Nothobranchius furzeri: one gene and its partner. The protein of the gene in region 2 purifies or fractionates together with the protein of the main gene of each other region. This does not show direct contact. Links are inferred from orthologs where the notes say so. Each region holds a gene or a part of one and is shown on either strand. Other genes may lie near its edges. The genes, in order: snx33 and faslg.

The links.
Region 1: the proteins of faslg (region 2) and snx33 purify together in Homo sapiens (co-immunoprecipitation; 3 studies listed by BioGRID and IntAct, counting the BioPlex papers as one, with this or other methods). This does not show direct contact. The link is inferred for Nothobranchius furzeri from reciprocal best matches to the Homo sapiens genes FASLG and SNX33.

Annotation. Positions count from the first base shown.
Region 1 is NC_091754.1:43,253,658-43,269,849, forward strand, and holds the start of snx33 (sorting nexin-33), read right to left. Parts: upstream 6,818-16,192; 5' UTR 6,633-6,817; coding exon 5,204-6,632; intron 1-5,203. UniProt on the Homo sapiens protein: Plays a role in the reorganization of the cytoskeleton, endocytosis and cellular vesicle trafficking via its interactions with membranes, WASL, DNM1 and DNM2. Acts both during interphase and at the end of mitotic cell divisions.
Region 2 is NC_091748.1:47,049,398-47,065,589, forward strand, and holds faslg (tumor necrosis factor ligand superfamily member 6), read left to right. Parts: upstream 1-6,698; 5' UTR 6,699-6,798; coding exon 6,799-7,083; intron 7,084-7,577; coding exon 7,578-7,626; intron 7,627-7,750; coding exon 7,751-7,813; intron 7,814-7,886; coding exon 7,887-8,302; 3' UTR 8,303-8,798; downstream 8,799-16,192. Other genes in the region: uncharacterized protein si:dkey-86e18.1, read left to right, coding at 2,120-2,658. UniProt on the Homo sapiens protein: Cytokine that binds to TNFRSF6/FAS, a receptor that transduces the apoptotic signal into cells. Involved in cytotoxic T-cell-mediated apoptosis, natural killer cell-mediated apoptosis and in T-cell development.

The DNA of each region.
Region 1 (16,192 bases), on a different chromosome or scaffold from region 2:
CAGTCCATTGTCTTTATGTCTAATTGTTTTATCAGATTTTTATCTAGTATTTTTTTTATCTTACCCATTTTCCTTTGATGTAAAGCTAACTGTGTGTCTGTTGCTGCTGCCTCTGGGCCAGATCGTCGTTGTAAATGAGAATCCGTTCTCAACCGACTCATCTGGATAAATAAAGGTTAAATAAAGATTAGGCGTTTGTTAGACTTTTGGTCATTCATTTATCCCCGCTAATCTGAGGAAGACTTTTTGTTGTCCCTTGTCTCTAACATGCTGTTAAATAATACATAATCTGAATAGCTGAGATGCTTAGTGACCAAATTGTATAAAGAAAAGTAGCTCAACTTCTGACACACAGCGATATGTGAAAAGTGAAACTAAGTTTATATGATTTGCAGAAAGTGTGCAATAATTGTTTTAAGTAAATTAGGCAGGTGCATAAATTAGGACACTGTTGTCATTTTATTGACTCCAAAACCTTTAGAACTAATTACTGGAACTCAAAACTGGTTTGGTAAGCTCAGTGACCCTTGACCTCCGTACACAGGTGACTTATATTATGAGAATGAGTATTTACGTAGGTAACTGTGAGTTTCCCTCCTCACTGAATATTCTCTGAAGAGTGGGGGTCTTAAAACAATTCTAAAATGACCTGAAAACAAAAAATGTTCACCATTATGGTTTAGGGCAGTGGTTCCCAACAGGGGTATGCATACCCCTAGTGGTCCGTGAGAGCATTACAGGGGGTACACAGATTTCTCCTTGAGTTACATTTGACAACAAAACGAACATTTTCTTGTGTTGAAAAGGAATTGACGCAGTTTAATCTCCACGTGTAGGCTAAAGCCTGGTTTATGCTTCTCCGTCAGCTCCACAAGGGACAGACACGCACGGATTGAGGGAAGCGTTTTGCTCTATTACTTCTCCGTCTCCTGGAGAGTGTTGCAAAGCAATTGCCCGGCAGGACCACAGAGGGCGTAGCGCTGTTCTGTGGTATCCTGTCATGTATCGGTCCAAGATCGTGTGTTTATATTGTGTTTTTTGTGTTTATAAGAGACTTTTAACACGGACATATTTGTCTCTCATTCTCCCACCGCTTCATGCGCTCCCCACCTCTAAACCCACGTTTTCTGTCATTTCTGTCCACAAATAAAATGCTTGCTGTGCATCTTTTCACTCCTCCAGTCACGGGAGAATTAAACATTCATATTTTTAGAGTTTTTTCGCGAGGTATTCTTCAAGCTTCTCTGTGTCTGCCGCTAGTTATCCTCGGCTCTCTTTGCAATGGCGGCGTTGTAAACAACAGCGGCGTCCTGTCCAATCACAAGCTTGCGTAATCCGTCTCGTTCGACGGATGTTTAAAAAAGTGGGCTCGACTCCATATGTACTTGCGTTCCTGCCGGAGCCCTACGCAAGGACGGATAATGGCGTTGCGTGTCTCCGCACTGACGCAGACGGAGAAGCATAAATCAGGCTTAAGCTAGGAGCTAATTATGCTTACTGTAAAGAAATTATCTGAATTGTACATTTACTTATTTTATGCTGTCCACATTTTTACTAATTAAATTAATTCGAATGGAAGAAGTATTTGAAGCTTTCTAAACTAATCTCCTTTTCTTTGTGTCAAACTGGTGAGACAAACCTTTGTCATCTGATGGTTTTTTCACACCGAAAATAACTTTTCTCACAGTTTGAAAATAAGCACTTTCTTGACATCAAAATGTGTTTTTAAAATTCATTGACATCATATGTGAAATCCATGGAACACATCAAATGGGATCAGCAGACCTTTTATCCTTACTCCCATTTATTTATTTTTTGGCAGTTTACATGCATTTAAATAATATCAGTTCATTTAAGGCCTTAACTTGTTTATCGATGTTATGTGTTAAACACCCATCCTCTATGTTTCCAGTTATTCACATGGAATTCAGTGGTTATTTACTAACCGAACTAGAATCATCCCTATGCAACCCAAAACTGATGCAGTGTAATGATTTTTTAAAAAATAGTGTTGCCTGAATCACAGGAATGATTTTAAGATGGCAGCAACACACTGGAGAACTGGTTCTAGAAGGAACTTTCAAAGTCCACCGGGCCAAAAACGAGAGAACGCTCTTCCTGTTTGACCGCATGCTGCTCATCACCATACGCCGTGGAGAGCACTACATCTACAAGAGCTTCTGCTGAGCTCAGAACAGCCAGTGGAACACTCATCTACTTCACCAGCACTGGAGCCACTCAAGAAGCAACCTAAAGTGAGTAATACAATAATTATTTATAACTTTACCCAGGCACGAGCTTCACAAAGACTGTTGTTTCTGATTTTACAGCTTTTGTGTGTGTAGGTGATGTTTGTGCTGCATGACAGGGATGAACGCATACAACTGTGAGGTGCAAACTAGGGCTGCACTAGCCTAGTGAACTAGACCAAATTCTTGCTTTGCAAAGTTTGGTCTAGGCATGCTCCATTGGAACCTCAGCAGCTCCTACCAGGACTCTGGCTAGCCAATCACAGCTCTCTAGAGGAGTTTCAAACTAGGGCTGTAGCGAAGCCTCGACGAAGTCGATGGCTCGATTCTAAAAATTTGTCGACGTCAGATCCGGAAGTCGACGCACCGCGCCCACTTGTTGCATCCCCAGGAGTTAGTAAATAGAGGAGGAATCTGCCTGTTTTTCCTCTAGTTCGCCCTCTTCTCCGCCTTCACTAACATCTCCGCCAAATACCGAAGGCCCGGAACAACGTCCGTCCACTACTAGATTATTTTCCTGTTTTGCCCGCCTTCGTCTCCCAGCAACGGACAACAACTTCCGGGGTCAGATGCGCTGCTTCGTGTCTATCGCAGATGTAGAACATCACCGGGAGCGTTTCTCCCTTCATTAAGGAGCTTCTTTCAGACAGTAGGAGAGCTGTTTTGGTGGTAGCAGTCTCTCCTCCGTGCTGGTCTGTTTGCTGCTGGGTGTTTTTGGTTTATTTAAACTTGGTAACTTGAACTTAACGTTGGTAAAGCTACTGTTAGCATCTTCGCTAACAGCTTCTTGCGTTGGGATAAGCTGTTACGTTTTGGTTTAGAGTTCATCTTTTTTGTGGTGTAGATCTCCCTTTTATTACATTTAGAGTGTTGTGGGTTTTCGGTTTAGTGTAAAATATCACCTGAGTTTGGTTTAACCCGTAAGACCACTCGCCTCACGCACATAAGTGACCAAAACAAAGCAGCATGGAGACACTCCATCTTCTACCACCTCTCAGGCAGCAGCCTGCACTCCCAAGTTCTACATGTCACCAGAACATAACCAACCGCAACACAATAAACGCAGTGTTATAAAAAAATGGAAGGCCTGTAGTGTTTATTCTCTTACAGTAACAATTTATCAATTTTTTTGAGGAATTTATTTGAGATTTTCTGGTTTTTGTTAATTGTGCAATAGAAAAATAATCATTAGATTAATTTTCTAAATAGTCATTAGAATAGTCGACTATTCGATAAAATAATCGTCAGAATAATCGTTTTAAAAATAATCGTTTACCCCCCAGCCCTATTTCAAACACATAAAGAGCTGCGATTGGTCCATAATGGTGGGCCAATCATAGTGCTCTATCTGCTTAGTGAACAAATCACAGAACTTTATCCACTTTGTGGGCCAATCAGGGCACTCTATATGCCTGGTGGGTGGGATGATGCAACAGAGTGAAACAAGAGTATGTCACATTCATTGTCCAGTGGAATGCGGAGATCATTTGAAAGACAACGGTAGATCCCGCCCCACAACCGAGAGCCGTCAATGGAGCATGGCCAGACTAAATAATACATTTATTTAGTCTGGCTTGCCAGGCTAGGGCTGCACGACATTAAGAAAACCTGCGATGTGCAATAACAGTGATTTATATTGCGATGACAATAAGACTTGCAATAAATAAACAAATACCTAACTCAAGAGCAAAGAAAAATAAATAAAAAAATATGACTTAAAAATATCTTAAAGAGCAAGTCACCCCTACCAGAGTCTTACTCCACTCCCACTACAAGACCGAGAGGGCGGAGCCACTAACAAACACAGAGGCTCACAACGACACTGTGACATCATAATGTACCAGCTAACGTCACAGTGTACCTCTTAGCCAATAGCAATAGCAGATTTAAATTCAAATGCAGTGCAGAGTTTTTACCTGACGACGGCGCAACACTGACAGTTTTAGGCAGATTGTTTAAATTTTAACTAAGATGCACTAAAGTGCCAAATTATTGCCTTCACTTTCCATTTTTGGTTCTTTTTTAAACACAGATAAGGTTTTTCTTTACCTTGCTGACGGTTCAGCGACAGCCCTAAAGATGTTTGCAGCCACAAACGAAACCGTCAGCAAGGTAAAGAAAAACTTTATCTGTGTTTAAATAAGAACCAAAATTGGAAATAGAAGACAAACACAGCAAAAATGTACAAAAGATTGACTACACATGTCTACAGCACGATTAGACACTCATTTATATCGTTTATAAACAAAAAAGTAGATTTAGGGGTGACTTGCCCTTTAAATAATTGGAAAAGCAAAAAATTTTATCAAAAGTTGTGAGGAAAGGAAAAGGAAAATGAACAGGAAAGGGCAATCAATGGATCCTGGGAACCGCAGAATCAGCATAAAGAGCAGGGCAATGTTTGCTAGCCATCCAAGTGCTGTCAGCCTATAGGGGGTGGGCATCTAATGTATGAGAAGCCACCTAATTGGCCAAATGGGTGAAGAGCTCTATTTGATTTATCAAATACTTCATGCTTCTGTTTGGTTGAAAAAATAGTATTATATGTAGTAAACATTTGATCTGACCACTCACTGCGCTTTTTTCTGTTCGTTGCAATATGCGTATTGCGCGTGGTGATATTGCGATTTATTGTGCGGCACTAGCACAAACCACAAAGTATGATCTATGTTAGATGATGTAAGTCAGACTAAACTAGAACCTCCTTGTCCAGCAAAACCATATCTTCTACTGATGCAACAGAGCTCATCATGTGTCAGAGTCTTGACCTACTGAGAGGATGTACCCACACACACAGCACAGCATGCAGGAAAAATATTCTTCAGACAAGCTACAGAAGTCAAAACCACGTAAGGACTTGTGATAGACTCACCTAAATAATATATAAATAAAGTAATCACCTTATTAGGTTTTTGTAAAAAAGCCATACATGCATGACAACACTGTAGCATTACCTTTCTGTAGATGAATGATGTCAGGAAAGTTTGCGAGCAGGCCTTGGTAGAGTGACAGCTTATCCAGCATATGGAAGAGGTCGTACTTTGGTTGCTCTGCAAACATCTCTCCGATGTTTTCGTACGTGCGTCCAGTATGGGAGATGGCGTTGTTGAGGGTGTCTGACCTGTAGGGTGGGTCCAGAGTGAACGCCTGGCTAATAGACTGGAAGGAATTTCCCAAGCGCTGGAACTCCTTCCTGAATCCACCCAAGTGCTTACGCACTAGCTCTGAGGCGACATTTGTGAGCTGCAACACACTGTCGTCCATTTTCCTGGCAAAACTTTTAAAGTTGTCCACCCTCTCCTCAACATCCTGCAGGTCCTGGTGCTCAGTGGGGACTTGAAGGGTCAGCATGAAGTGGGCACCCACCATCTCATCCTTCTCTGCCCGCCTTTTACCCAGTTTCCACTGCTTATCTTCAGTGCACATCAGAAAATGCTCAAAGCCTTCATACTGGGAGAGGACTGGGTGGCTGGTCATGTGGTTCATCCACAATACTAGGCGCCTCTTACGCTTCTCAATGAAGTCCTCCTCAAACCGGCCCGTGGCCTGCTTCTCGGGGAGGTGAGGCACAGAGATCACAGTGAACTTGTGGAGTAAACGGTTGTAAAGCCAGTCGAAATGTTTGTACCGTCTGTAGACAGGGTGCCCTGTGTGGCTTGGCGTGACTCGATATGATATGTAGGTCTTGATGCCCTTGAACTTTGTCTGTTTGGTTGGGTCTTCAATGGAACAAGTGAACGGCTGAGGGCTGTCCTTCCACTGAGGCCCCAGTGTGCCCATCTCAATGGTATATGACTCAGCAATTTTAGCCATCATGGGCACATCCCCCAGCACAAATGCCTCTACACCTGAGCGGACAAAGCTGGAGAACCTGTTCAGGTTCCTGCCCACCATGCTGCCCTTCCTGGAGCTGGAGATGCTGTCTGGTCCAGATACTGACTTGTTCCTGTAGTGCATATTGGGACTGTTGGACATTTGGGCCTGGTAGGCATGTCCATTAGCCCCGGGACCCCTGAAGTTCTCAGCATCATCCACGACAGTAGACCTGTCGTCCCAGTCGTCCCAGTCATCGTAATCATCCTCGTCATAAATCTTCCCAGAATTAAAAGAAGTGTTTGGCGTGGATGGTAGATCGGAGGAGTCATTTCCTAAAGAGCCTGCTGGGCTTATGGAACAATCAGTCATGTTGGAGTTTGAACGAGTGCGAATAATTTTCACATAAGATGCTGGGAAGAGCCCCCTCTCCCCTCGGCTGTTCTCCCCCTGGAACCAGCCATCCACCGTGTTCTCATCAAAGATCACCACCTCCTCATTCTCCTGGATGCTAATCTCTTCTTTGTTTTCACTTAGAAAGGTGTAAACGGCCACAGCCTTTAAAGACATGTTTACACTCCAACAGGCTCTACACCACTAACTTCTACATGCACATGCTGCCCGGGTTAGGGGCAGCCCTACAGCACTTTTAAATGTGACTGCTATCAGGACAGGAGTTCCAGACATCCAGTTGAAGTTTACCACTAGTGAGAAACAGCGCTTCAAGGCCACCAACTGTTGATCTAACTACAAATATTTGCTCTTTATCACAAAGGAACCATGTTTCCACTTTCACATTAAAATACTACACGTTCAAACCCAAAACTGCACGAGAGGTTTGAATCCTCCAAACGTTTGCTGGTGGTCACTGACGTTCACTAATCAGACGCTTCCCATCGAGGAACCCGAGTCCAATCCGTGATAAACACATTCCCAGGACCGACACCCGGAGAGGAGAAAAACAGACGGGTGCGTCATGGCATCGGCGATCCGAGCCTCGTTCCCAAACTTGCAGCGTTTTCCTTGTTAAAAGGTTCCTGCGCGTCTTCACTCGATCCTCGGTGGAAAACAAACACTCCGATGTTTCCCCGGAATCAGCTCTCATCACCGGCCACTTTTCCTGGTAAAGAACCCGCAACGAGCCGCAACAAAGTAAGTCTTTCCATGACGTGATGGTCGGACGTTTAAGGGAAGTTCTTCTTTATGTTCCATAAAAGAAGCAAAACCAGAACAATGGCGCCGCCAGCAGGACCTATGAGCAGGACGAGCGGGGTCTAACGCACACACACACACACACACACACACACACACACACACACACACACACACACACACACACACACAGACACACACGCATACATATACATACACACATACACACGCACACTCACACACACATATACACACACATACACACACACACATATACACACACACATACACACACACACATACACACACGCACATACACACACACATATACACACACACATATACACACATACACACACACATATACACACATACAAACACACATGTACACACACACACGCATACATATACATACACACATACACACACACGCACACTCACACACATGTACACACACTCACACACACACACACACACACGCACATACACACACATATACACACACACACTCACACACATACACACACACATACATACACACACACACGCACACACGCACACACACACACACATACACTTGCACACACACACACACTAGGGGCTGCATGAATTAATTTTTATTAAAGTTGACAGTCAAGTAATGAAAATCGAGTCGACTTTGACTAGTCGTTGATGACGTCATACACCTGAAGCTGGGCGCGGGGGGGGGGGGGGGTCGGTTGGTTGGAGTTTTTGACAATTAAAAAATGCGCCCACATTTTCAAAGTTAAACATCTCTTTTAACAACGGTTGTTACTGCATCTTGTTTCAGTTCTCTCCCCCCTCCCCCTGCGCAGCAGCCGCAAACTCACTGGTGTGCCTGCAGCCTCTCAGAGTTCCCGCTGCTCTAAACATTAAAATAATTATTTCATTTTCTGTTCCTCACTTCTGATTACCTTCAATGGTGTCTGTTGTTGCAACCACCAGGTACAAAAACTAACTTGTTTTTATTTGACTATTTTTCTGTCCTGCCTGTTTATTATCTTCCTGCATCTCCTCTCAGTCCTAAAGAAAAACTGCTACCTAGCTTCTTGTCCTTTGTTTGGCGACTTGAACACCACTTCTGCATTCACCTTATGAGTTACCTTTGAACTGCAGTTCTAAAAGATCTACCGACCGCAAAAACAGCGGAGTGCGCGCTGCTCGCCGACCACATCAGTGAGGTGAAGTTATTGGAGGACAAAACAGGTGATGCGCCCTGATCCACAGCAGCGAAAAGCATCAGGCACAAATAAAAGAATAAAATACAGAAAACATAAAAGGAAATGAGCCGACATGAACGATCGCGTGTTAAATTAGTTTTTGAGGTGGCAACACCTGATTTGATAATGTTACTGTGGCTGTGCTCAGGACGCAGATGTCTGGAGCACGTCAACAATCAGAGCTTTGCATGCGCAAGCTGGTTAAGGTGAGGATGGGGGTGAGGGGAATGTTAAATTGCACACACATATACACAGACACATATACACACATACACACGAACACTTGCGGTCGGTAACAAGATGGGGCCTGTGCTTGGCTTAGCCGCGGTCACAGGTCACTTTTTCAAACTTTTCTCCACTAACCTCCTCTTTTCCACTTTGCTCCTGCCTGCGATCTTCTTCAGTAGTGTCCCTGCTACCATCTCCTCTGATTGCCAGACTCTTTTGACCTTCCGTTCATTCACGATCGCCCAAGATGCACCGAGGACGTACCTCCCTGTTTGTTTATCTGAGTGGCGTGCTGGTCCGGAGCCAAACGACGATCCCAACCAGCGCGCCTCCTGCTATGTTTATTTGGTCCCGGGAAAACGTCGGAGGAAAAGAGGTAAACGAGCAGGAATCCAGGTGAGAATAAGACTTCTGTTAAAGTGTGGGTGATCTAGTAAACATCGGGGTGATCTTCTAGCTTCTTGTCCTTTGTTTGGCGACTTGAGCGCCACTTCTGCATTCACGCCAGGCCGCAATGTGGCGCGGTTTCTCCGTCCAAGTTTTTTAAGGTTGGTTATCCTCATTCCTCAGTGGTTTCTCCTCCTGTTCCGTCCATAAGTGGTTTTTATAAACACCGTGGATCTAACCCTGCTAATTTACGTCCACTAACTCCAGCTGTTTCTGTAGTTTCTGATTCCTCCACCTCACTCAGCATGGCCCTATTGAACACCCGCTCTGTTAACAATAAGACCTTCCTGCTCAATGATCTAATTCTCTCTAAAAACCTGGATTTTCTGTTTCTGACTGAAGTTTGGCAGCAAACATCTGATTATTCTGGTCTGATTGAACTCTGCCCGAGTGAATATTCTTTTCTTAGCCAGCCCCGGGGTTCTGGTCGTGGTGGAGGCCTAGCTGTTGTTTTCAGAGACCATCTTCCATGTAGCTCTACAACCTCTGGTCACTTTGCTTCCTTTGAACTGCAGCTGATTAAAGTCGGGCATAAGAACCCGTTCTACTATGCTGTGGTCTATCGTCCACCTGGTCCAAACAGTTCTTTCCTTCAGGAGTTTAGTGACTTTCTATCCTCCACTGTGAAGCTGTCCAGACTGGTGATTGTTGGTGATTTTAACATCCACGTTGATGATCCCTCGGACCACTTTGCCATGAATTTCTCCAGCATTATGGACTCCTTCAGCTTTACCCAGCATGTTTCTGGCCCCTCACACACCAGGGGGCACACGCTAGACCTTGTTTTTACCCTGAGTCTAAATGCTCACAGTGTTTGCCCTGAGGACATTTATATTTCAGATCACCATTGCATTTTCTTTAACTTGTCAGTTTCTGCGTCCCCACCTCCTGCTCGCCGTATGGTTAGTTCTCGTTTTCTTAATGAGAGCACAGATAGCAATTTTTCTGCTGCTTTTGATCCACCCTGTTTTTCTGATAACGACCCAGATTCCTTAACTTCTCAGTTTAACGAGCACTGCCTCTCCATTCTGGACAACATCTGTCCTGTCAGAACCAGATCAGTTCCTGCAGTGAACCCTACTCCCTGGTTTACTGACAGCCTTCGCAGCCTACAACGCCAATGCAGAAAAATCGAGCACTTGTGGAAGAAAACCCATCTCCACGTCCATCTGCTGCACCTTAAGGATCTTCTGACATCCTTTAACTCTGAAGTCAGAGACGCCAGGGTTTCCTATTTCTCCAACCTGGTGTCCCAGAGCAAAGGGAACCCCAAGGTGCTGTTTAACACCATCAGCAGCATTGTCTCTTCTGTCTCTCCTACAGCCTCCATCCACTCTGTTACAGACTGTGAGATTTTTCCGTCTTTCTTTGTGGACAAAGTCAATAAGGTTAGCTCTAACATCTCTCCTTCAGCCTTATCGCTGCCTCTCCCGACTCCAACCAGGCCCATCAACCTAGATAGCTTTGCTCCTGTTTCTTTGCCTGAGTTAACCAAACTAGTTAACTCTATGAAGACCTCTGCATGCCCCCTCGACATCTTACCCTCATCTTTGTTTAAAAGTGCTTTTCAGTCCATCGGTCCAAGCGTGCTCTCTACAGTTAATGCTTCTCTGGTTTCTGGTCAAGTCCCTGCTTACTTTAAGAATGCTGTAATCCACCCGCTTCTTAAAAACCGAGTCTTGACACCTCTCTCCATAGCAGCTTCAGACCCATCTCTAAACTTCTGTTTATCTCCAAGATCTTGGAAAAGGTTGTGGCTAAACAACTCACAGCTGCTCTTGATGAACATAACATCTATGATAGCTTCCAGTCAGGTTTTCGTAGAGCTCATTCTACTGAAACAGCTCTTCTTAGGGTCTCTAATGACCTTCTGAAGTTACTGTAATGTATTTCCTGTATTCAAACTGGACCAAACGCGTAATCATTTTTGCAAATGATGTTTGTTTCCTTTAGTTTCAAATTTATGCAGCAAAAACCCTTTGAAACATTGATGTAATAAGTGGTTGTGGTTGGTCTGGTTTGGGGAGTAGAGATGTCCAGGAGTCACCAGAACCAGTAGCAAATCAAGATTGGAGGGTGTTAAGTAAGATAACAAGGATGGATTGCCTGGATAGCTAGGAGTCATTAGAACTGATAGCCATCAAAGACTGTTAAAAAAACACTCCTTTGATAGATAAAGAGCTTTTAAATTACATCATCCAACAGGGAGGGTCATCAAAGCATTCCTTATTTTCCATGGTGTGTGTGTGTGTGTGTGTGTGTGTGTGTGTGTGTGTGTGTGTGTGTGTGCCGGAAGATGAGTGTTGTGAAGGGGTTTTTATTCTCAGACTGTTTTTAAATTCTGGGGATGGGTATGCGGGGCCTTTTAAACTTGTTAAGCACTTTGATTTACATGCATTGTATGATTAAGTGCTATATAAATAAAGTTTGATTTGATTTAATCAATAAGAGTAATTAAATATTGCCCGCGGCTAGAAAAGAAACAGTAACAGAGGTCAAAGCCATAAACCAATCACCTTAGCTCCTTCCACGTTTCAAAAGTGACATTGGGTACTTCTTTCTCTCACTGAATGGTGGGCTGTTCATGCTGGATGCTGTTTAGTAAACTTCTCTGTCTGTAGCATGGCGCTGCTGACCAGTAGGAACTGAGGAAGAGAGTGAGCTCTCTCTGTGTGTGTGTGTGTGTGTGTGTGTGTGTGTGTGTGTGTGTGTGTGTGTGTGTGTGTGTGTGTGTGTGTGTGTGTGTGTGTGTGTGTGTGTGTGTGTGTGTGTGTGTGTGTGTCCTCTGCATCGGAGCTTCACCCCAGCAATCTCAGGGGAGAAAGCAGTGTGAGTGTGGCAAAACATTATGACGACACACACAGCTTAGATCCCTTCCCAGATGCCTCAACGCCCACGCATATCCTGGGCCATCTGACCTCAGGAATTCACATGATAGGGTGGGGCCAGGCTTCACAATGAGCTCACCCGAAACTCTGGCTGAATAGGACCCACTCCCACCCTCACACCTTGGCTCATGTGTTTATGTAGAAGATCATCAGGGTGTCTTTTGTTCCCTCCCACTGGGTTTGAATCTGGGACTCTCCACCATTTGACCTAACAACTGAAGAAGCCTCTCGGATGAGAGGTGAAATGTCTTCAAGCAACTAAAAGAAGTCCAGACGCTTTTCTTTCAAAGCTCCTTAGACTACAATGACCTGGATGACTGAGAACCTTCACAGACAGACGACACACACATCAAATTAATAAAATAATGTGGTTCAGAGTCTCCAAAAGCAACACGGCATATGCCCACCTTCGTTTATCTCATTATGGAGGACACCGTGGTCTTTCCCAAGCTTATTACAGTAATCTGAAGGTTGCAGGTTCGTTCCCGGCTCCAGACAGAGAATTCTGCTGTTGTGTCCTTTGGCAAGACACCTAACCTACCTTGCCTGCGGGTGGTAGTCGGAGGGACCGGTGGCGCCTGTGCTCAGCAGACTCGTCTCTGTCAGTGAGCCCCAGGGCAGCTGTGGCTATATCGTAGCTCATCACTATCAGTGTGTGAATGTGTGTGTGAATGGATGAATTATACACTGTAGTGTAAAGCGCTTTGGAGTCCTTACTCTGAGAGGTGCTAAACAAGTGCGGGTCATTTATTATTTATTTATTAAATCCTGCGCTCAGGCTCGGGGATTTTCACATTCCTGAGAAGTCCCTCGGATTTATATGTGAACACTACACTGCCCGTTCGAGACCAACTTCAGAAAAATACAACACCACATTCACTATTACTAATGTTATCCTTGATCTATCATATTAAAACAACTTTTTACCTCAGGTGACAAGCAGAACTTAAGGCATGCACGTAACTTTAGGTGACATGACTTTCGGGCACTTCTGTTAAGGCAATGGCGACTGGAGGTGAGCTCAAGCTGCCATTTTGCTGGAGCCAGGTGCCTCTAAACCCATACCCTAACCCTAACCAATGCTGATCTATTCCTAAACCAACCTTAACTAAAACTTAATTCACACCACCATACCTCTAACACTGCAGAGATCACCACTGGCCACTAGGGTGTACTGCGATCAAGCCTCGAGGGAAAAAGGTGTATTCAGGGATGTGCCTGAAGTCACGTACAAGTGACTATTCCCCGCAGGAACGTGCCTGAAGTCACGTACATGTGACTATCCCTCACTGTACATACTGCTGCTTCTCCTTTTGAATGCTGCTGCTCAGCCATCACACTGCTGTCTATCCATGCTACTGTTCGACTTGTATCTGTAAGTCTTCACCTGCTTGTTAAGCTAATGTAGTGGTCACATTGTCAGTATGCACGCTAAGCCGCGCTGCATTTATTTACCCATTTTATCGCATTGCTTAGCTTTGGTCTTCAGCCCATTCTGCTGCTTCACGCTGCCGTTAGCTTCTGCTCACTCAGCTTTGTATGTCGCCGCAGGACTCCTTCATCCTTGTCAATAAAACCATTTGACATCGAGGAGTGTATTTCTTCACTGAGGCAGGAAGGAGTTACTCCATCTGGGCCTGGTGCCTTCCATACGTTCTGCCTCCTAAAGATGTTGCAGACATCCTCTTCCTTCACAAGGAACGTAGCTTGTGAATTAGAGGAAAGAGGAGTAAGAATTTCCAGGTGAGGGGTGGCGGCTGCAGCTATGCTGGAGTGGAGGAGGGGAGTGACATTCCTTTCCTCAAAGCGACAGTAAAAGCCATTTAGCTCCTCAGCAAGGCCATGATTAGAATCAGAAATAAAGGATGGTATTCTGTAGTTGGTAATGTGCTGAGTGTTTCTCCATAATAATGTGGGGTTGTTGGCTGAAAACTGGTCTTTCAGCTTTGCTGCATACTTAATTTTAGCAGCTCTGATCTCCTTAGTCAAAGTGTTCCTGAGTGATTTGTATAGAGGCCTGCTCCTTTGCCCGTCTCAGCTGGCTCAGTGTTGCTGTAAATCATGGCTTGTTGTTATTAAAGGTGCGAAAAGTCTTTGTTGGCACACACACTTCCTCACAGAAGGTGTTGTAGGATGTCACAGTGTCCGTTAGCTCGTTCAGATCGCCTGTGGCATCTGCAAATACTCTCCAGTCTGTACAATCAAAACAGTCCTGTAACTCCTCTTTTGCTTCATTTGTCCATTTCCTCACTGTCCTGATGGCTGGCTTTACAGATTCTAGTTTTTGTTTATAAGTGGGGATAAGATGAATCAAATTATAGTCAAAGAGGCCGAGAGCTGCACGAGGGACAGAGTGGTATGCCCCTTTAAGAACTGTATAGCAATGATCCAATATGTTTTTGCCTCTAGTAGGACATCTGATGTGCTGTCTGTATTTTGGTAGTTCGATATTAAGTTTAGCCTTATTGAAATCGCCCAAAATAATGAGCACTGAGTCTGGGTATTTGTTCTCTGTGGAGGTAACTTGATCGGCGAGAGTATGCAACACTCACATCTGCTTGAGGATGTATGTATACTCCAATCAAAATGAATGAAGATATTTCCCGCGGGGAGTAAAACGGCTAACAGTTCAAAAATATTGTCTCCAAGTTTGAGCTACAATGATTACTGAGAACTGTAGCATATGTACACCAACATTCATTAATGTAGAAGCAGATTCCACCTCCTTTCGTCTTCCCTGATAGCTCTTTTTTCCGGTCTGCGCGATGTAAACAAAACCCGGGCAGTTATAATCCATTATCAGGAGTCAAGTCACTGAGCCACGTTTCAGTAAAGCAGAGGGCAGCGGAGTGTGCAAAGTCTCTATTAGTCCTGTTCAGAAGGAGCAGTTCGTCTATTTTATTAGGTAGGGATCGGACGTTCGCTAGGTGTATTGCTGGGAGAGGCATACGAAATCCCCTCTGGCAGAGTCTCACCAGCGCCCCTGCTCATTTACCCCTCCTGCGTTTCCTTCTCCAACAAACAGTAGCAGTTCCTCCGATCAAAACTTCCAATAAACTTCCCGGGTACTCAAATTTTTGAAAATCCGTCTCTGTGATTTGTTGCTTGATACACAGTAGTTCTTCTCTACTGAAAGTAATCCGTTTTGCGTCACTGATTTCCAAAAAAATAGACAAAAGCAACACAAACAAAAGAGAGCAGTGTACCGAGGCTGCTATCTGCGGCGCCATCATCACACATGTCTTACATATTCTGGAAGTTGTGCAAATGCAGGGATGGGACTAGTTATTCTGCTGGGGTGGGGCTGGGTTGGTGCCCTCGGACTCCGTGGAGCTCTGCAATGCTGCTGCTTTGGGCCCTGGCAAGATGGGCTAGGGTCTCCATGCCCTGGGGGCATTTTGGGAACAGAGGTGCCTGTTAGGGCCAGTGGGGGATTTGGCTCCCTGGAGGGCTTAGGCCAACCAGCCATTCCTCCCCATCCCCATACATTTTTCTCCTCTCCTGCTCTTTCATATCATCACACAAACATGCACATAGGACCTTGGGGAGTGGACAAGTCAGGGGTGTGGGTATGGATCCTATTTCCGCATTCCTGTGGCAGCCTGCCCTCCAATATTATTTGCACATTAAACACTTCCACCAACAACATTCCACGCAAACATACACTTAGGGCCTTGGGAGTGAGCACACTCAACGTCATTTGGCAAGGGGATCTTTCAGCCTCATCCCGAATGCCATTGTCCACTTCCAATTTTAAACTGCACTTAGACACTGAGGGCTGTGGGGGGAAGTGGGGTTGTGTGATTGCATCAGCTGGCGTGGGCCAGATGATGCTTACACTACCAGCTCACCACAGCCATGGAATACACCTCATCAACACGCACTAACACTGAATTGGAGCAGGCGGAGGGAGACTAGGGGTCTTAGCACACCTCTGTTGTTGCTTGGCTTCCCGGAGCTGGAGGCTAGGAGGGGGGAGCTGACTGTCTTGTTGGGGTCTGGAGTGGTGGGATGCTTTGCTCAGCTTTGGGCGGGGGTGCCTGCTCATCATCACCCCAGCAGAAAGGGGCGAACTATGGGAATCGGTGATGATTTTACCCCTTGTGTAGCAGTACCAGGACCAGAGTGAATAGGGTGTGTATGGGGAGCGTGAGTGGGTGTCTAGTGTTCATTT
Region 2 (16,192 bases):
ACAGCATATGCTGACTCCATCTGGCTGGATACAGGGTTTGACTACTAATTTCTCTTGGACATGCTGAAGTCAACAGAAGATAGAGAATTATCCACACCACAGAGCAGGACGTTGATAGTACAATCCAGGGTCCTTTAAGCTTTTTAATTACTTTTTCAGCAAACACACAGGACCTGTCAGGCTGTGTGTCAGCACTTTGGCAGCCATGAATGAAGATTTTTTTAAAAATGCAAGCTTAGGCCTGGGACAATTACAAATTTTGCTGGATGATGTATTGTCCAAAAAATTCTCGAAAAACAATATTATTGTCGCCATTCTTGAGACCAAAATATGTCCAGAACCTGAACTTTGAAATAAATAAATAAATAAAACAAAAAATAATTACATATAAAAGGACTTTCACTCTCTGTTAGAAACTATTGCACCAAAAACAATAAAATAGACCCCGTCTCTCCAAAACAAATACAATGGCCTATCCAGTGTCCACAACCAAAACTGCACTTCAGTAATGATATTAAATAATAATAATAATAATAATAATAATAATAGAATTGTACTTTTCTTAACCTCATTATATTGAGGCTGGAAAAATTGAGTTCATTTTCATATATCATACGATTAACGAATTTAATGATTATGATCTAGGCCCTATACAAGCTGAATGTGATAAAAGCACAAAATTCTAAATTCTTTGAACCAAAGTGAAAAATACAGAAACATGAATAACGTGTTCCTGCTTACTGATTCATTTTTCATGTTTTTCATTCTTTCATAAAAGTTATGTGTTGTTTGGAATTTGTATTAAAGGGCTATTAAAGCATTAGCTTTGACTGCCTTAATACAAACACATCAGCATAAACAAATACTAGTTTAATCTAATCCTAAATAACATTAAATTAATACACTAGTTTGATGATTGTGTGTAGAACCACCATTTTCCTGTCTGCTTCACTAACCGGACATCTCTGGAGGGCTGTCAGCCATAGTATTTCCTCTTTTTGCTCTGACATATTCTGATGTTTGTCAACTCAACACCAGATTCCTAAAATCCAAACCAGGTCCAAATAACCGACCCGGTCTTCTTTACAAGCACCTCCTTCTCCACCAGCTCCACGCTTGAAGCAGCCACTGCTGTGTTTTCCTCCAAAGTAGAGTAGTGTCTGAAGTAGTGTCAGTGTGCCCCAAAGCAGCTGTGGCTACATCGTAGCTCATCACCATCAGTGTGTGTGAATGGGTGACTGATGCACTGTAGTGTAAAGCACTTTGGAGTCCTCTGACTCAGAAAGGTGCTATACAAGTGCGGTTTAGATGCAGCTTGACAACGTTCGTCAGCATGCACAATCAAAGTTGGCTGGTACTCTAAATCTCTACCGTTGGCTAGATTTATGTCATTTCTATCGTGTTCAATTCATGTCAGCCATTACTAGTCTACAGATGGTGGTTAATGAGTGTTGCTGCCCCGACTAGCCTGATGCTAAACTGTTCCTTAATCTTGATGTCTGGCCAGTTAGACTCCTGGACCTTCTTCCAGATGGTAGCAGGATAAACTGTCTGCATGACAGATGGCTGTGGTCCTTGATTATGCTGACAGCCTTACGTCAACACCGTGGAAGATAGATGTCTGATGACTAGGAGTCTTTTCCCAGTGATGCGCTTGCTGCCTTCACTACTTTCTGTATTGATCTCGGTTTGCAGAGCAACTCCCGTAGCAGACAGGAATGCCACCCATCGGCAGACCCTTGACCACTGCTTTCTAAAAGTTCAGGATCATGTTGGCATTAATATTTAGTGTCCTACACCTTTTGCATGGCTGTTTTACTCAAGTTAAATGAATAAAGTTGGGTTATCATGTTTCGTAACAGTTTCACGATCATTTGCAGGATTTTAACTTGTTGCAACTAAATGCAAACTTTGTTACAAGTGGGCTTTAAATCGACGAGAGCTTCTAAACTTTCCAAAACAATAAACCTTTACTGAAAAATCACTGTGAATAGTTTGTAGGAACTTCTAAAATGTTACTTAGAAATGTGTTTTCTAAGGTTTTAAATTGATTTGACCTGAATATGCTGAGTCTTGTTTATTCATTCATTCATGTAAGAACTCTCTTTTTCACTCGCAGGTAAATCCCCGCGGCTTGTCGAGCCGTGTGATGCTGGTAGTTTGTGGGATAAGGATGACCGAAGTTTGGCAGGATATTTGAAACCCTCAACCACAGATGGAGCCTGCAGCTCTTCAGACACCAGATTTCAAACGGTTGTTTCCCTTTGCTCCATCCCAAACCCCTCAGAACTAGTCAGTTCAGTCCAGAACGAGCCTCTGGCCTTCGACCGTACACGACTGGCGGTGGCTGCCGCTGCGTTCAGAGCACCATCTGTTCAGAGTTCACATAAAACACAAAAGCTGGCTCGGGTGCTGCGGTCTGGGCTTCCAAACCTTAATAACTCTTCATTACAACAAAATGTTTTATTACAAATCAGAAACACAGAGAACAGCGAAGAGGGCACAAGGAGTTCTGTTGATGGACGACAAAAGAACGAGTCAAACTGTGAAACGTCCAGGAATGAAACAACGGAGAAGGCCGGTCATGTTTTGGGACTTGATTGTTACTCATCTTCTGATGAGGAGCTCGTAACATCTTGTCCTGATATGAAGCAATGATGTAAAGTCTGGGACTGAATTACACGCAACTCTTTCCTGGTCCTGTGTGTTTATTTAACAAATGCAATGTCTCAATAATGTTATTTATTAAAATTACACTAATAGTAAAAGTAATATTTTGTTTAGCATTACTTGTGTAACCAGGTGACTTGGTGGTTGATTAGAGGGCCCCTAGCCTTGCCCCTGGTTAAACTTGGTTCTATATAAACATGGTCAGTAAATATTTTAGTGTAATTCTTTAGTAAAATTGCTACAAGTATGAAACTTTTTCACAGTTTAATAGAAAAGTTTTGCTGAAATCGACTTTTTTTTATAGCAAAATGATATTAAATTAGTAAAATTTCATCATAGAGATAAAACCATTCGTCCTACATTCATGCAGAATTATTTTATACTGAAATGAAGTTCATCAAATTTGCTTTCTCAGGAATTTAGTTTGTTTCCACACCATAAAGAGCCCCAGCAGGTAGAGAATCACCGTTTGATTATTAGTCATGACCACAACAACCTCTATTGTTCAATGAAAGAAATGATGGTGAGAAAGACTGAATGACAGAAAGAAGTACTTGCTGATTCAGCGATTCATTTCAGATACCTGATCTGGTTGAAGCAACTGGAGCAGCAGCTGTGAGCGGTCTGGTTAGACCCCAAAACCCCACCCTCCCACCTAACCCACTCACTGCTGCTGCTAATGCCGTTGCAGCGAGGGCCTCTTTCAGCGTGACTTCTGGGAAACAGACACATCAGCTTGTAGGGTGCCGGCAGTTTGTGAAGTTTATGGTAAAGTTTGACGTAATTGCCCTTTAAGTTGGGAGCTTTCTGCACACTGCTAGGTGGGTTTCCCTTTGTGTTAGCATCAACCTGGAGAAATGAAACCAAGACACTCGTGACACCCAAATTCCATTGGAAACAGGAGAGTCCCCATACAGACTCACTAATGCTTGCACAATGAGCACGTTGGTAATATCTATTAGTATTTCTACTAATATTTATGAGAATGACTTGACTTCAGATGTTGTGAAACTTATTCAATATGAATTTTCAACACAACAGAGTGGGACAGCACCGTAGCTGCTTCACCCCAGTCAAGAATTTGTTTTTGTGTGAATTTAGCGAGATGCCCTTTATCCAAGATCGGTCACTAATTTTAGTCTGATTATCTTCGTTAGATAATAGGCTGAAGCTGAAGGAAAGCCTCCCACCCACAAAGCTGCAGCTCAGATATTCTGTATCCATGGCAACAGAAGTCTAAAAGACCACAGTAGTGTGTGTGTTCAGCTTTCCGGTAAGCTTATCACTGAGGTATTGGTTAGAGTTCATTCTCACCTCTGTTGAAGGACGGCTCTGACTCTCGCTGCAAACTTTTCGAATGCAGCCAGCACGCAAGCCAGGGTGCAGACATGTTGCTTTTCATGTGGCAGCGGCGTCTCCCCACCAACAATTCTCTGTTCTATTGAAACTGCTGCATCACTGTTTACTAACCAAAAATAATCTGGTTTCATGATAAGTTATATGTTTGATTGGTTGGAATCTGGTTCATTTGAGGGTTTTCGTGGTTTATTCTTGAAATGAGAGAATTAAAAAAAAACTGAAAAGCTTGAAAGGCTGCCCTTTGTCACCGATTCTGATCATAACCTTTATGGACAGGATTTCTAGGTGCAGCCAAGGTGTGGACGGCATCCATTTTGGTGGCCTGATGATCAGGTCTCTGCATTTTGCAGATGATGTGGTCCTGTTGGCTTCATCAGAACGTGATCTTCAGCTTTCACTGGAGCTGTTCGCAGCCGAGTGTGAAGCAGCTGGGATGATAAACAGCTCCTCTAAATCTGAGACCACGGTCTTGAGTTGGGGTAGAATGCCTTCTCCAGGTCAGGGATGAGGTCCAGCCCCAAGTGGAGGAGATTCAGTATCTCGGGGTCTTGTTCACGAGTGAAGGAAAACTGGAGCGTGAGATCGATAGGCGGATTGGTGCTGCATCTGCAGTGATGCGGGCATTGTACCGGTCTGGCGTGGTGACGAGAGAGCTGAGTCGCAAGGCGAAGCTCTCCATTTACCGGTCGGTCTACGTTCCTACTAGTGTCAAAAAAATCGATACCTAGATATAAATCGATACTAAAAGTGGTATCTAAATTAGATATTCCATCCCTGTGGTATCGATATTATGGACTATTATACACAGCCTTCTTCAAGTACACCGACACGCACGACAGCCAGATGCCGTAAAGCAGCCTCCGCCTCCCAGACAAACAGAAGAAGACGCCGCATGGCTACGTTGCAATTTCCCACGTGAGTTGTCTCCGATCCAAGTTTTGTCTGCCAAATAAATAAACAAAAACATAAACAGCGAATTTGGGAGGCACTTCACAGCCCAACTTAATTAGCATACCAAGTCTGACACGTAGTTGTATATTCACGCTTATGTGCTTAATGGAAACTCCCGTTTATTGCAACCCGGACTTAATTTCTAGCATGCAGTACGTTTGTTTACTCACGCTGACAACTTTGGTGCTACTTGGATTCCCCGGGGTATTTAGATCCATCGGCGAATCGCCATCAGCGTATATCCATGTAACGGGTGCAGACGGGCACCCATGTGCAGCCTCGAAATAAGACATTATCTGCACCAAAACATCTTCATGTCGAAAGGTTTTGTTATGAATCATTATCATGAGTCCCCTGTTCGTTTGGAGCGGGTGTCGGATTTTTAGGCGTAAACAGACTAGCCGCGGCTAATCTAGCCGGCGCTTTTAATGACGTCACTGCCGTGCGCCAGTCTGTTTTTATTAAGATTAGATGTACCTTTGTCCTACTGTGGAGAAATTCGTTTTCTCCCTTTACTGACCAACAGAGTTGTTCAAAAGTACAGAACAAAATATATGGCAATACATCTTATGACAAAAATGCACCTTAAACAGAGTTTAAGCAGCAAAACATCACTGCAAATAGTGTATATATAGTGAGACAATTCATGATTTAAAGTGTTAACTTTCGCCAGTTTTTGTACGCACGTTTTAAAAAATGCTGATACTTGAAAGGTTGAAGCACTTTACACACTTAATTCTTAACATTTAATTTTTGCAATATAAATGGAGGAATGTTATTTTTTGAATAAACTTGTTCAATAAATTGGTGTTTTTAAATAGTATCGAAATCGAGTTTTTTGTCAAGTATCGAATCGAATTTGAAATTTTAGTATCGTGACAACCCTAGTTCCTACCCTCACCTATGGTCATGAGCTTTGGGTAGTGACCGAAAGAACGAGATCGCGGATACAAGCGGCCGAAATGAGTTTTCCCCGAAGAGTGGCTGGGCTCTCCCTTAGCGACAGGGTGAGAAGCTTGGTCGTCCAGGAGGGGCTCGGAGTAGACCCGCTGCTCCTCCACATTAAGAGTTGAGGTGGCTCGGGCATCTGGTCAGGATGCCTCCTGGACGCCTCCCTGGTGAGGTTTTCTGGGCACGTCCAACCGGGAGGAGACCTAAAGGTAGACCCAGGACACGGTGGAGGGACTACGTCTCTCACCTGGCTAGGGAACGCCTTGGGATTCCCCCGGAGGAGCTGGCCCAAGTGGCTGGGGAGAGGGAAGTCTGGGCCTCTTGCCTTAGGCTACTGCCCCCGCGACCCGACTCCGGATAAGCGGAAGAAAATGGATGGATGGAAAAGGTTGAAAATTTGAAAAGGAAAGAAAATGAAATATTCAGAAACAAAAGTATATTTCAGTATTTCAGTAGTAGTACCTGCTCAAGGGATGCTGCTCAGATTTTCTTTTCGTGGAACCTGAAGGTTTTTTTAAGTGACGAGAAAGTGGTTAATGAGGTCCAGGTAATCTAAAACCTCAAACTTCCTTCAGGTTCAGACTTGGCTCTTTTGCATCTTGCATAAAACAAAGTTCAAGTGGGGCTGAAAAACGTGCATAAAGCATGAGATGCATGAATTATAAACACATTAAATACTGCAAAGCCAACCAGAGCAGCTCAGCAGATGATTGTTTTACCAGTTTGCGCACGTTTAGGAAAGATGTTGTCTTCTAGATGTGGGAGGAGAACAGTGGGTGGTAATGTCTCAGTGGTGCTACAACATAAGTCCACACCTCTTCTACACAGAGCAAATGCTCACCCCGCTTGTGTCACAGGACCTGCACCATGAGCTGTGACCAGAGGTACCCGCTCCCTCAGGTGTTTCTGGTGGATGAAGGTGGAGGTTCGCACCATCCATCGCAGCCTCCCAACCTCATACCCTGCTGGTCATTCCCACCAGCAGTGGAGAGGATGAGGAGCAGGGAGAAGAGCCGGGGCTGCATGGGGATCAGCCCTGGACTGGCCATGGTCGTGCTGATGCTGTTCCTGCTTGCGTTTGCAGCTCTGGGGTTTGAAGGCTGGCAGATTCTGCAGATACAAAAAAAGATCAAAGACGTGCCCTGGAAAAAGGTAAGAGGTCAATGAAAGTCTAGAAATGAGAGAATTGAAAAGCTAAAGTGCAGGCCTCTGTAAAGAAAAAAGTATGCTGGAAAATCTAATATCTTATTTTTTGCACAGATAAAATATTCATTATCACCCTTTTCTTGTGTGGGGTAGAGCAGCAAAAGCAAGAAGGGATTTTTGCATAGAAAGGTGGTGACATGGAGGTGTAAGGTGGGAGAGTGGAACTATGGTTGGAAAGCTTGGGCATACCTGTAACGTTTAATAAGTCACTCGGTTTAGAACAAAATAACTACTTGAGAGTGGCTATGGCTGGGTTTCGCTCAGGCATTTAAAAATGCAAACCTCTGTCTTCACCGCTCCATTTGTGGTCGCCAGTCCATTCAGACAGGATATCCTCTGTTTCACTTGTGCTGTGAGAATGCTTTTAGATGCTTTTGGAACAAGCTGAAGCTCACAAGTGTGTGATGTGGTATTGAGATTTGTCTTTCATTTCACTTTAGGTTGAACCTGAACCTGCCACCGACTTTCATGCACCTTTGAAACAAATTGGTAGGTTCACACCATGAAACACTGCGTGCTGTGCACGAATCATTCAAAAAACATAGAAAAAGTTCAAATGTTGAATAAAGAATTTAAAAAGGAGCAGTTGTGACTAATCTGATGGTGATTTTAGGTCTCCATAAGCCTGAACTAAGCGGAGAAGACACAACGGACAGACCTGCAGCACATGTGATTGGTAAATATTCACTTTGAGTTCTCCTGATATTCTCTGATTGATCTTTACTGATGTCATGTTTTTCCTGCTGCAGGGCGCATCGGACCGATACCGGGAAAGACGCTGCGCTGGGAGTCGAGGACGGGCCAGGCGTTCGTCTCGGGGGGAGTGTCCTACAAGGTCGAAGATGGAGCCCTGCAGGTCAACGAGACTGGACTCTACCATATCTACTCCAGAGTGGAGCTGATCTTTAAGGGCTGCACCTCCACCTCCTCGTTTGATCACTCCATATTTGTAAGGAGGGCAGGACACCACTCACCTTTGACTCTGATGGAGGCCCACAGGGCGGGGTTCTGCCCTCAGACGGCGGGCCGGTCCTGGACAACAGAGAGCTACCTGGGCGCTACTCTGCACCTGAAGATTCATGATAAAGTTTATGTGAATGTTTCGCGCCCTGAATATCTCAGCCACACTCATTATGCCAACTTCTTTGGTCTTCATAAGATCTGAACAGTTTTGAGTGTTTGTGAGGCGGACTGACCTGAGCCAGGTGTAAAACGTACCAGAAACTTCACCCAAATGATGAACTGAATGTGTTTACACACACACACACACACACAGACACACACACACCTTTTTATATATGTGTATTATTATTATTATTATTATCAATAACTCATTTGGATATCTCTTCATTGTCTTAACTTTGTTGGCTCTGCGATGTATAAACCCTGAGGACATCTTGAGCATTTCCTTGATTGACATCCTAAATAATGAGAATTGTGCACATTGAAAAAGTAATTAAACTGTATTTTCACTCACGTGTAGACACCAGTATTGTTCTTTTTCTTGATGACTCAGGAGTCGGTTAACACTAAGGTGCTGCTAAAGTTGTAGCATTGTTTTAAATATTTATTTGTTGAGGGACTGACACCGTGTCTGAATATGTGCCTCTAAACCAGAAGCTGTGCTCTAATATGATTGTTAATAAAGCAAATAAAGTTTATGCGTGTTGCAACAAGAGATTTCTATGTGCAATCAGAATGTTTTAGATGCTTGAATAGATTGTGTTATGTGAACACCCACATTTAGATTTAGGTATGAGTGCTAGAAACTATCTAGGCAGAGACTGACCCAAACTAGCTCCTGAAGGTGATCTTCAAGTCCACTTGGGTGCAGAGGAGGGCTGCACAAACCTCAGACACAACCCTCAAGAGTTTATATTCTTGTGACAATTCATGAACCTGTAAAGCAACCAGAGTTGGATTAAAAAAAAAGAATGCAAGCTTTGGTTTCAGTTTAACGCTCGTTGCTGCATTCGTTTTTAGTGCACCACAAAGTCAGCAGAGTGAGAAGATGTTCATGATGGGCATGCAGAGGGGACGAAACAACTCTGATGTGCATTTCCTTCCTGTGTGAACGTTTTGAGGGTCTTGCATGCCTGCAGGTGTTTTTTTGTGAAAGAGTTCATGTTTCTTTTAATCCATGTGGTTAGCGTCTGTGCTTCTTAAGAAGTTTTGGTTTCATCACCTGTTGAACAATAAGGAATAACCGGTCCTTTAAAATGTCAAAATAATATCAGAATATTTCAGTTTGGACTTTCTTTCTTTGGTAAATAACTTACAACTTGTGGGAATTTGACAAGAAACACCGGTTATTCTGGTGCAACGAGGAGTTTTCATTACTCCTCAAAAACAAACTCTTAGAAATCTGTTCTGTGTGAACTTGCATAAACCTCATTAGGTTTTTACCTCCTGAGTTGCTGGTTATAAAAGTTAAAACCACACCTGAGAATGTTCAGCTTTCTACTCAGACAAGTCAACATGGACCTCTCTGTTTATCAAACCCACTTCTGAAAAAAGTCCGCGTCAACAGCTGTAAAAACACGTCTTCATTTCACTTTTGACATTTGACACTTTCCCACTGATCTTTTTTTTTTTTTGTCTTTTTCAAAAAGGCTAAATGATTATTCCAAATCTCACCAAACATTTATCACATTTGAGGCATGTTTGTGTGTAACATTTAAATACTCTGATTGCCAAACAGATAGATTAAATCAAGAGCAGAATACAGGCTCTCACAGGAAATTATATTAGCTGCACACATATAAACCACAGTATGGGATTAATTTTGTAGATGAGAAGCAAATGCATCTGCTAAAATGTGAAACTATTTGTTTTTCTTCTCCAAATCTGGAGTGGGCTGCATGGTGGTAGAGTTGGTAGAACTGTTGCTTTGCAGCAAGAAGGTCTCAGGTTTGAATTCTAGCTGCAGCATTCTGCGTGGAGTTAGCATGTTCTCATGCATGCATGACTTTGTGAAAGGCTCACCGGTTTCTTCCCACTGACCAGAAACATTAGGTTAACTGGCAACCCTAAATTGCACTACTTAAGTTAGAGTCGTAAAAATGGGGTGCTACGCTCTTATTTTTTCCATCTTTGCTGCCATCAAGCAGCTAGTTTCGCATGCCCACTTGGAAACAGCAGTCCATGCTTTTATTACTTCACTCTTGGACTACTGCAACTCCCTTTGTTCAGGAGTTAGCCAGGCTGAACTTGCCTACAGACAGCTAATAGGTCCTGCCTGGAGCTGTTGCAATCAACATGGCTCTACACTTTCTCCTGCAGCATCTGGACTCCCCGGGTACCTGCGCCAGGATCCTGTTTGCGGACTTCAGCTCTGCCTTCAACACAATCCTCCCAGATCTCCTCCCTGTCAAACTGTCCCTGATGAACGTGCCTGACCCAATCTGAATGTGGATCTCTGACTTCCTGATGGACAGGAAGCAGCAAGTGAGGCTGGGAAAAAGGCCTCGGGCCTGCGAACAATCAGCACCGATTCCCCTCAGGACTGTGTTCTTTCCCCTCTGCTCTTCTCCCTGTGCACCAACGGCTACACCTCCAACCATGAGTCTGTCAAGCTTACCAAGTTTGCAGAATACACCACCGTCATCAGACTCATCTCTGATGGGGATGAGTCTGTCTACAGAACGGCTGGTGTCCTGGTGCAGACACAACAACCTGGTGCTAAACACCCAGAAGACAGTGGAGGTTGTTATGAACTTTAGGAAACACATAGCCCCACTCCCTCTCATAACCCTGTCTGACACTCCCATTATGATGGTGGACTCATGTCGCTTCCTGGGCACCACCATCAACCAGGACCTCAAGTGGGAGCCCACCATCACCTCCATCATAAAAAAGGCCCAGCAGAGGATGTACTTCCTGAGGCAGCTGAAAAAAATCCTACTTATCACTACAGTTGATGAGGCCGCGCTACACCACAATCATCTAAGTCTATCCTCACATCTTCAATCACCGTGTGGTACGCCGGAGCCACCATCAGGGACTTGAAAAGACAGCAGAGTGTTGTGCTCTGCTGAGAAGGTCAATGGCTGAAAACTCCCCTCCATACAGGACCTGTACACCTCCAGAACATTGAGGCGTGTTGGTCGGATCACAGCTGACACGTCTCACCCTGGACACAGTCTCTTTGACTCGCTCCCATCTGGCAGGAAGCTCCAATCCGTTCGGACCAGAACCTCTCGCCACAAAAACAGTTTCTTCCTGTCTGCGGTCAGACTCATGAACGACAATCATAGAACTGCCCACTCCAACTGCATTGTTTCAGTCACATGACCCTGTGTTGTGTTTACACCTGAACTGACCCGCTCTGACCGGTACCTACACTGACTTGTACAGCTGCTTCTCTAATTATAGATTCCTTATCTTACTTTCATTTCGTTGTGTTTTTTCTCAGTTCTAATTTTGCTTATCATTTATTTTTTTCTTGCACCAAGTATCGCAGCAATTTTCTAATGTTGTGATTCTCACACACATGGCAATAAAACCCTTCTGATTCTGCCTCATGTGGGGGAGTTTAAGCATCTCGAGGCCTTGAGGGAAATGTGAGCACGAGATCAACAGGCGGAGTGGTGCTGTGGGTGTTGTTCTGGTCTGTTGTGGTGAAGAGAGAGTTGAGCCGGAAGGTGAAGCTCTTGATTTACCAGTCGATCTACTTTGATACCCTCACCTATGGTTGTGACCTTTGGATCATGACCATCGACAAATATACTGGACAAATAATGTCCATAGGTTCAAATTACAAGTTTTTGATTTTAAATGGGAGGTTCCCAACACCGCTGTTTTGACCGTGTCACGTGTCTCGTTACGCCCAGACGATCAAAAAATGGGAAAAGAGCTGGAACTGAGGGTGGGGCTGTTACGGTTGGAGCAGGGTTGCTACACATTAACCTATGTAGCTACTAGCTAACTTAGCTAAGCTAAGAAGGGGCTCGGGGAGAGCCCACCCGCACGGCCGACTGCGAGGCTGTATTCATGCTGGTCACCTGTGGAGCTCTAATATGGACCGGGACTGTTAAACTACAAGCAGAACCTCAGACTGCTACAACTGTAGCCAGGCGCTGTGGCCTTTTACAGAACCAGAATCAACTTTACTGTCAATGCCCCAACGTCCTTAAGTATAGAAAATTGTCTCTGCAGTACACCCTAACCAAGGTTATACACACAAACATGTAGAGCAAAATCAGATACAGGCAGATAACGAGAGCAGCCATCAAGGCCCTCTGGGAACGTCAACTCGGTTATCGGCGCTAAGTTGATGCAGAGCCTGGAGCCACGTTGCAGTACACCAGAACCGTCGACAACGGCAGATTAGCCTGATAGCCTTCTTCATTAACATCCAAATACGAACACAAACACACAGAGGACACAACTAACGTTCAGAGTCGAAACATCTATTAAAGTGAGGCTGAGGCCATTTCCTGGAGCTAGCTCTGAAGTCACATGGCTCTGATGCTCATTAATTATTCCGAATTTTAAGCATTAAAATTCACTTAAACAGAAAATTTATACAAAAAAAATTCACTCCATCAAAGTTGCCATCTATGTAATGTAAACTAGATCTGTTAAACCTAAAATGGTGTTTTGAACCAGACTGTAAACATGTTTATTTTCTGCTGTGGAATTGGCATTCTTAGCATCGGATTCAATAAGGATTTGCTCACTTCTGGTGCCAGAACCTAGCAGATGAGGGTGGCTTCAGGTCTGAGAGCCTAGGGTTTACCCTTGGTCGTGACTGAAAGAACGAGATCATGAATACAAGCGGCCAAAATGAATTTTCTCTGCAGGGTGGCTGGGCTCGCCCTTAGATAGGGTGAAAAGCTCGGTCATCCAGAAGGGGCCTGGAGTAGATTCACTGCTCCTCCACATTGAGAGGAGCCAGTTGAGGTGGCTTGGGCCTCTAGTTAGGATGCCTCATGAACGCCTCCCTGGTGAGGTTTTCTGAACACGTCCAACAAGAAAACCTAAAGGAAGACCCAGGATACGGTGGAGGGACTTTGCCTCTCGGGTAGCCAGTTAACACTTTGGGATTTTCCTGGACACGCTGGTCCAAGTGGCTGGGGAGAGGGAAGTCTGGGCCTCTCTGTTTAGGCTGTTGCCCCTGCTACCCAATCGAATGAATGGATAGATGAAAATGTAAGTATTCAAGTATTAATCTGGCTGTTACAGTTGGACTTATAATTGCAGTCAGAATTTTACATCCTGGGTACAAATGTCATCAGTTAGGTGCTTTCAAAGAACTGGATGCATAACTTGATGAGCGAAAGACTTCTTAACAATTCTTGTTGGAATCATGATTGACTTTAATCATTAGAATGTTCAAGAAAATGCTGGTGAAGGTTCTCAGTCGTCCAGCTCATAGTAATCCCGAGGGGTTCAAATGAAGGCAACTGGACTTCTTTGGTTCCTTGAAGACTTTTCACTTCTAATGTGATTAGCTTTGTCAATTCTGATGGAATGTGGGAGAATCAAGTTTATAAACTGTAGCTGTCTGTAGCCTCACTAGCTACTTATGAATACCCCTTGTCCCTACACACAGCTTGTGTTCTGCATGTAGGAAGGGAAGGCGCTGAGTCAGGCAAGACAATAATCAAGCTTTTTGATCTCTATGACACAAAAGTAAATGTTTTAATGACCAACGGTGGCGCTTTCACACCTACAAACGTGATACTAACTGTTAAACATAGTGGTGGAAGCATTATGCTGTAGTAATGGTGCATTATACAAAGTGAATGAAATAAGTGAACTACATCTATAGGTTTTAACTTCACAGAAAAGCTAAATCAGTGTTGCCCCATCCCCTTGACCTCCCATGCTTTAGTTCAGTGGTCCTCAACAGGCGGCTCGCAGGCCATGTGCGGCCTCTTTGTGGCCCCGAACCCCGTGCGCACACACAGGCAACCAAAAAGCTAACCACTAACAGTGTTGGAAGTAACGCAGTACAAAAGTAATTAATTACTGTAATGCATTGCTTTTTGCTGTAATGTGGTAATGTAAGGCATTACAGGGAAAGAAAATGGTAATATTTACTCGGTACAATTGTCAGTAACGCGGTAATTACAATGCATTTTTAAACCCAGAATCAAGATGCGTTTATTAAAAATTCAAATTGCGGGATACCCGAAAAAAGTTCCAGTATCTGCATATATTACGTCATTTATGGACTCAGCTTTGCGGGCAGAGAGGACGCCGCGGTAACGGCTCAAATACTCCAGCTGCATCCTACGCGCGGCCGCTGTAACATTCACAAAATCGCTCCACTAAAACAAAATAATTCACCTGCGATCGTTCATATCAGTGCATGTTCTCTGGTATTCTGTACTTTTCTGACGTGCTTTGCCTCAGCTGAGTTAATCTGGGCTCCGGTGATTTCAACTCATTGCTGCTGGAGCGCCGCACATGTGAAGATCCCTTTGGATGATTAGTTAGAAAGTAGGAAATCTAGGAAACAGGTTTTCTGGAAGACGGAGAAAACATGCAGCATGCAGGAAGGTTAGAGAGAGAAAGGGCAGGAAATTATTCAAATAAAATCAAGAAAACAAAACAAAGTGCTTGAAAAGAAAAAATGTAGGTAGATTTATCCCCAATACTCATTTTTACCATTGAAAAGCAATAATATAAGCATTTAATATTTATACATGTAATAGAATAGATCACACCAGAAGTCAGTCCCACATCCAGGGCCGCATCAAGGCATTTGGGGACCAAGGCAAATAGGCTTGGAGCCCCCACCACCTCACTCGCCGCTCAGTTAATCTAAGATGATAACGTGCTGAGAGTACAGTTTGTGGTTGCATTTATTACATAAACAATCCTTCTAAAGAACTGTTTTTAACAGCAATCCTAGCTCAGACACCACATGACACCAGATGTGTCATGAGTTCACCAGGCATCAGATTACCAAACTCATACTGAAGTTGTCTTGTTGAACGTAACTTAGAGTAATGCAAAAGTAGTGTAATGCCTTACATTTTAAAACCAGTAATATTGTAATGTAATGAATTACTTTAAAATGAGGGTAACAAGTAATAAATAATGCATTACAGTTTTGAAGTAACTTGCCCAACACTGACCACTAGCCGCTAGCTGAATGGTTCAAAAGTTTTGTGGGTGAGCGTTAGGGAAAGACTGGGACAATAGTTCATTCCAGGTGTGTGTGTGTGTGTGTGTGTGTGTGTGTGTGTGTGTGTGTGTGTGTGTGTGTGTGTGTGTGTGTGTGTGTGTGTGTGAGAGAGAGAGAGAGAAAGAGAGACAGAGAGAGAGAGAGAGAGAGAGAGAGAGAGAGAGAGAGAGAGAGAGAGAGAGAGAGACAGAGAGAGAGAGAGAGAGAGAGAGAGAGAGAGAGAGAGAGAGAGAGACAGAGAGAGAGAGAGAGAGAGAGAGAGAGAGAGAGAGAGAGAGAGAGACAGAGAGAGAGAGAGAGAGAGAGAGCTCCTGATACACAGTTTACCACGGCTGGCATGTTGCAAAAGCTGCTTTATTGGGTTATGTTAGGAAATGCTTGTACGTCACGCAGGTGGAAGCAGGATTTCATCAAATCCAATTACAAAAATAGCTTATATTTGGGGAAAAAAATTACATTTCAGTAGTACCAATATTTTATCATATACTGTTACTATTGTTGCTCTGGATGGTGTACAAAAACATAAAACTATTACATTTGTTATTTGTTGATTTTGCTTCAAAGCTGAGTAATTACCAAAAAACGTACAACTTTCAACTAATCACCAATGTTATCGTGAAAACTGGTCCAACATTCAGCCAGGAAAAGGAAATTACTCATCAGTTCTCATCAGTCTGAATAACATGTCATAGGAAACCTTTCAGATTCAGTGCTAGATTGGTCTACGAGCAGTTACTCAACAGAGAAAATAAATGGCTGAGTAACATCTTCTGTGGTGATCACCAGAGTGATATGTGTGTTGTGTCATCACCCTAATGGTTCATTTGAGGGTTTCTGATGGAAACTCTTGGGGCAGCACTTCGAGTAAAACTTCATTTCTCAACAATACAACAGAGCTCAGTTGTCTTAGTTTTG